Linked DNA regions of Caenorhabditis elegans. The protein of the gene in region 1 purifies or fractionates together with the protein of each later gene. This does not show direct contact. Each region holds a gene or a part of one and is shown in the gene's direction. Other genes may lie near its edges.

The links. Proteins that work in one complex are often made in the same cells at the same time.
Region 2: the proteins of srbc-62 (region 1) and gut-2 fractionate together in Caenorhabditis elegans (co-fractionation; one large-scale study listed by BioGRID). This does not show direct contact.

The regions. Positions count from the first base shown.
Region 1 is NC_003283.11:17,216,391-17,219,528, forward strand, and holds srbc-62 (Serpentine Receptor, class BC (Class B-like)), read left to right. Parts: upstream 1-1,599; coding exon 1,600-1,774; intron 1,775-1,818; coding exon 1,819-2,276; intron 2,277-2,395; coding exon 2,396-2,614; downstream 2,615-3,138. Other genes in the region: srh-109 (Serpentine Receptor, class H), read right to left, coding at 2,863-3,138.
Region 2 is NC_003283.11:13,495,856-13,499,319, forward strand, and holds gut-2 (U6 snRNA-associated Sm-like protein LSm2), read left to right. Parts: upstream 1-1,885; 5' UTR 1,886-1,920; coding exon 1,921-1,923; intron 1,924-2,110; coding exon 2,111-2,178; intron 2,179-2,595; coding exon 2,596-2,727; intron 2,728-2,777; coding exon 2,778-2,868; 3' UTR 2,869-2,964; downstream 2,965-3,464. Other genes in the region: eea-1 (FYVE-type domain-containing protein), read right to left, coding at 86-160, 255-1,196, 1,238-1,411, 1,468-1,512; avr-15 (Ig-like domain-containing protein), read right to left, coding at 3,085-3,374, 3,430-3,464.

The DNA.
Region 1 (3,138 bases):
AAGGAAAACAGAAAACTTTTCTGGTCAGCATATTGTTTCAAACCTCGATACCCTTTGCCGTAGTGATCATACCACTTGCTATTGTTTTCGCCTTCAATTCATTTGGCTACTATTCTCAGAAAGCAATGAACTTGGCTTTTTGTTGTGCACTACTTCATGGCCTGTGCGAAAGTGTGGGAGTCATTTTTGTGCACAAACCATATCGAGACGTAATTGGAAGATGGTTGTTCAAAAGTGATTTTTTTAAAATGAAGTTGTATAACATATGATAAAATTTCAGGGTCAGAAATTTTCATCAACGTTCAGCCATCACGAGGGAACCTCACTAGAGATAGTGGTCATATAACTAATTTTTGAATAATTGTTCCTGAAGTTTTTAAAGTAATAACAAAGTTCTAGCTTTCTGGTGCACCCGAAGCGCAAATAGAGACATTTGTAAATTTGGAAAATAAAAGGAAACACCCGTGAATGCTAGGTTACTGAATTTCAGGCCCACAATCATATTTTTTTCAACGGAAAATTGTTACAAACTTTTATAAAGTTGGTTTAAAATCATTACTTATATTTGAATAAAATGAATGATCATAGTTTATAGCCTCTTTGTAGTCTGTGACGGGCTCCCTTTGTAGTGAGACCCTTCGAAAATACTATGGCGGGAAATTAAAATGTTCTGAGAAAACATTTTCACTGAAATTTCCAATTTTCAAAGAAATATATTTTGGCGGGAAATTCAACTTTTCGGAAAAAATGTTTTGGCGGGAAATTCAAATTTTCTGCGAAAAATATTTTGGCGGGAAACTTAAATGTTCTGAGAGAATCCGTGGCTCGTAAAAAGGGTTGGAAACTTAATGAACAAAATCGAGAAAAAAAAACAATGTAGCCAGAAAATGCCAGAGTATTGAAAGTCGGTAAATCATTCACTCGGGAATTCAAATTTTATTAGCCAGTTTGAAACTTTTTTTGTTGTAAAATTGAAAAAAAAAAATTTTTTAATTAAGCAAATTTCGGTCGTTACGACCCGTATTGTATCACTTGAAGCAAAAATGATCATTTAAATCTTTTGCCAAAATTCAATTGAAAATTCGAAATTTCCGTCGAAAAATTGATTTAAAAATTAAGGAAAATTCAAATTTCTTGATGGCAATTGACTGAAATTTCTGTGCGATTTAGAATTCTCAGCCAAAAATTTGACAGAAAATTTTTTTTTTTCTTTGAAGATTTACTGAAAATTTTTAACTTCCCGACGAGCATTGACAGTAATTTTGAATTTTTGAATTGGAGCAAAAATTCTCATTTTTCGGAAGCTTCTTTATTATCAAACTTTTAAGGCACGTGATTATGGCAAAGTCCTAGAGTCCTTTCAGACCGGAAAAATTATACGTGTGAGTAATGACATCTTTTTGGCAAAAGCCCAGTCAAGCGGTCTCTGTTCTTCTTCTGACTTTTGTTTATAATGGGAGGTTTTATTATTTTTTTTTGCTTTTATCAATTTCCTGCCTATATATATATATATATATATATATATATATATATCGCTAATTTGGAAATCATTTCTCTCGGCAAAATAGTGTGAATATTGTTACCTTACATTCATAAAAAATGCTTCTCGTCAAAACTTCAACCGTCATTTTTTCGTTTTTGTTCACTCAGACAGTGTTCTATTTGAACTTCTACTTGTTGTATTCTATTTTTGTTTCGAAAAAGCTCTGCAGAAAACCAGATTTAGTATTAATTTATATTCGAATTTCAGTTGATATGGTTTATTCGTTTTCTGGTGAGTCGTAGCACAAATAAATTGGCAACTCCATAATGTTACAGCATTCCTTATTCAAGCATACTACATTGCTCGCCAGATTCACCCTGGTTTTGTTATGAAGAACATGTCCTTCTACTTGGCATGGCCCGCTAACCTATTAGTAACTATTCGTCCGATTCTAGTATTGGTAATCAACCTGGACAGAATCTTCGCCACCTATTTTCCAATTTTATACCATAATCATCGTCACAAAATTACGTTACGCGGGATTTTATCACTCTTGCTTGCATGTTTACTAGTTCATCAATATATCCTCTTTGGATACTGTGGCGTTGTGGTAGATGTGCCATTGGACTGTGATCATTTCAAGTGCACTGTGAACGCGTGTTTTTATAGTTATACATTGTCGGTGGAGAAATACACAGATTCCTTGATTTTAGTCTCGTTGGTCATTTTATCGTGCCGGTTTGTAATCTGGAATTATTCTCAAGGAACACAAAAAAATGCACTGTTCACAAAAGTAAGTTTGTTACCGTAGTTGTTAAAAACCGCTGTGACCAGGATTTGGAGAGATTTTCAATGTAATTGGGCTTTACTAAGTTAAGTTTTCACTGTTTTTATTGCAGAAAAATATTTCAGGCAACCCGAATTGCACTCATCGACTCAATTATCATATTCATATTTAGTTTTCTTCCCTCAGCGATTTCCCAGCAATTTCAAAGTGTCAATTTTGAAACGGTTGGCCCGATAATGACAATGTTCAAGAATATCGGATTGTTCATCGAAGCACTAATTGTGTTCAAAGTACTGTCCAAGGAAGCGATTGTGATTAATACAATGAATAATGACAATTGTTGATGCTTTGTGAATTGCTTTGTTTTAAACTTAAAATTCAGTTTTTAAAACAACATTGTTCAACTACCGGTGTTTTATTTTTAACCCAGCCCAAGAAGAAACCGATGAATTGCAGATTTTATCGAACCGTCTAGTTTATGCTTTGTTATCTCTTTTCACTGGTAGCGTCGGTTTCGAGTCTGTTAAGGCGGTTGTATTAGCACGTGAACGAAACAATCTAAAACATAATTTATATTTATTTTAATTATCAATTAATATAATTCAACACTTCTATGGTTGGCGATTGTATTTCCTGTTCCGAGTATTCTCCTAATGGCTGCTCGATAGGGCTTGTGTACCAACATGATTGAAATGCTTTCAGCAAGCCCATGAGTTGCAATACAAACGTTAGACAAATTCATCCATTCTTGACGATAAGTTCCCGTCCACGATGCTAACAAAACCGCCATAGCAGGTGCGATTATAACAAAAAGTGGAATTGATGTCTGTATTGATACAGATATCAAAAATGTTCTTTGATCACGCTT
Region 2 (3,464 bases), 3.7 Mb from region 1:
TACTCTTTAAAGGCGCACATCCTTTTCCATTTAACAAAAAAGTCGTGTCGAGACCGGGATATAGAATTTTACATAACTTTCTCACCGTTTTTAGTCTTTCCCCTTGCACTGTTACTTTTTCCTCGAAAACCGCCTCAATTCGTTTCCTCTCCGCTGTATTCTGCAAACATTGTTTATAAAACCGGCAAATTGAAATTGAGTTTCAGGTTACAGCTTTGCCTAATACGATAAAATAAACAAAGAAATTAACTAACCCGCTCGAATTTTGAATTCAGGCTTATCATTTGTTCTTCATTAGATCCATTGATATTAGATAACATTTGAAGAGCATCTTGTGATTCTTGTACTTTATCTTCGAGCCTTTTAACGTTTTGCTTGTTTTCACTTAATTCGAACACGTTCTCTTCGATTCTGGCTTCTAATTGAACAACCCGTTCATTTCGTTGTTTCAATTCTTCGGATTGAGCATCATACGATATTTGCAACTGCTTCACAGTTTCTTCTCCTTCGCCAATTTTCTTTTCCAAGTTCTCATTTACGATGTGCTGTTTTTCACGTTCCATGCTTAAATTACGAATCGAATTTAGGTGTTCCTTGATTTCGATATCTTTCTCCTGAGAAATAGCATCCATTAGTTTTTGAGCATTAACTAGCTCAGTACGCAAAACATTCACATCATCTTCAGAAGGCCTCTGATCGAGCATCTTTTCAAGCCGAGAAACTTCGATTTCGTACCGAACAACATCTGATTTCACAACTTTCAGCTCTCTTTTCAGATCCTCCATTTCAACTTTGCCCGATTCAGATTCATCCGTAATTTCGCGCATTGTGACGCTCATCTGTTTCAATTTGGCCATCAAATCTCCACGTTCTTGTTTAACTTGTTGCAATTCTCGGGACTGCTGGCCGCTCTCTTTCTCAAGTTCCAGAAATTGCCGAGTAACCATTCCTTTGTCGGCTGTGAGAACTTGAATCTGCTGTGCCATGTATGGAATCTCATCTTCTGTGACTTCTGAAGCTATTGCCATTACCGATTTAATATTATCAAGTTCTTCTTTTATCCGTTCAGCAAAACGTTTCTCTTCGTTAACTCTTATTCGAAGCTCTTCAATTTCTTGATCTTTTGTAGCAAAGGCGAGTGGAGCTTGCTGAGGTGGAGTGTAATCGGGATGATTTCTGTTGGCTGATGTCTGAAACTATCAAAAAATTCTATTGAATCAGAGATTAATCAACTTACGTCAGAATGTTCTTTTTCAAAATGAACAGTAAGTTCATCAGGACCACCGAGCTCTACCATACACATTGGGCACAAGAACCCTTCGATCTCCTGATCATTTTCTGATTTTTGTGATTGCGACTGTGAACCTTGACTTGAAATACTTGGTCGACTGTTGTTTAGTCGGCCGTCAATCTAAATAAATTATCAAAATGGAAAAAACTAATTTTTTTACAAAACGGAAAACTTACATCATTCGCGACTTGCGAAACTTGTTCTTTCAACCTTCGAAGCATGTGTTCTGGAAAACAACAGTTCATCGATGCGATAATTCGAATGTAACGAACGGAGATTTAAATGTGATACACGAAATAGATTACAACAAATTGAGATATATCATCAGATCGATATAAACGAAGAGGGAAGGCGAAAAGCATTGATTTGACAACAAAACCGGCGCATTTTCTTCTCTTTCTGTCTCGAAAGATGATTCAAACATAGCGCAAAACAAACTGGCAAGTGGAATTCTCTGTTGGTCACTCAAATAAATAACCGGATTCCCTCTGATTTCTTTTCGTCTCTTCTCTCTCGTCTGGCAACGATGCTCCGTTTTGACGCAGTGCGCCTTGTTTATAATTAGTTTTGAATATTATTTTTTCATTAATTTTCTGAATCTTTGCAATTCTTCGACGATTTAACATAAAATGGTTAGTTTTCCTTTTAATTTTGTGATATAAATTGAAAAAGTACATACTCAAATTATTAAATGTGTTATAAAACTGTTGGTTGTCTCGGATATGAGGCTGTTCCGCTTAAATGTAATTTAAATTAATGGTTTAGGTATGTAGAAAGTCCCGAATTTTTGTTGTAACTCACGAAATATTACTATTTCAGCTGTTCTTCTCATTCTTCAAATCACTCGTAGGAAAGGACGTTGTCGTGGAGCTCAAAAATGATTTGAGGTGCGGTTTGTTAAATCAGTATATACAATTTACAGAAAATCGAGAAAATAACTGGAACCCATGTAAAACTTCAATTTCAAGACATTTCTTAAAAATTGGTTCACAAAAAATGCTTAAAACTTCTTGGGTTCAATATTCTGAATGTCTAGAAAGAATTCGAAACTCCCCGAAAATATGTATTAGCCAGACGGAAATCATTTTCAACGATACACTTCCACATAATGAAAATTCCGAATTTCTCGAAATCTCTTTAAACGCAAGTGCCATTCCTGGGTTTGAATTTAAATTATGAAATTCCATTTAAGATTAGTTCTGCTAATTTTTATAAGTTTTGAAGTTTAAATCTCACAAAATTAATATTTAAAAAATAATTATCTTATTCTAATCTCTCAAATGCAAATTCTAATAATTTTTCAGTATCTGCGGAACTCTGCACTCGGTCGATCAGTATCTCAACATGAAGTTGACCGATATCACCGTCTCCGATCCAGAACGATTTCCACATATGGTCTCTGTCAAAAACTGCTTCATCCGCGGATCCGTCGTCAGGTACAATTAGTTATCATTTTTCATAAATATTTCAAAATGATTCTTTAAAGGTACGTGCAACTCCCATCCGATCAAGTCGACACACAACTCTTGGCTGACTCCTGCCGGAAGGAGCTTCTCGATTCAAAGGCAAAACAGTAAATCCACGTGTTCATTCCTCAAAGTTCATCTCATTTTTTGTCAAGTTTGATATCATCTCATTTAAAAAAATATTTATTTTTATAAAAAATTCGTAACAAACAGGTTTTATTCACAGTTTCAAATGGTGTTTATTGCAGGCGTGTTCATTTTGTTTTCTCCATTGAGGGCACCGGTATGATAGTAGAAAGTATTTGATTGCTAAATAATTCCAGAATATTACGTACTGATGGCCACACCGTATTGTCCATAATGAGTCCAATAGGAGATGTTAAACGTGAGAAATAGTACAGGGAACATGACTCGAGATATAAGATCTGCTCTTTTCGACTTGTCATTCCATTCAGTCTTTGTTTTGATCCATTTCCAGACGCTATTTGTTTGACGGCGATTCATTCGAACTGTCATTACTTCTCGTTCTTGTTCAGCAACTTCTCGTGGTACCCACACATCGTTATGTGAATTTTGAAGGAATGGAAGTTCAGCTTTCTCTCTTTCAGTTCGAGCCCCTGAAAATTAGCAAAAAAAACGTAGGAAAAATTCTGAAAAAAAATCCCAACTGACTCTTATTAGCATCTTGCTTGTTTGCAATATAAGTC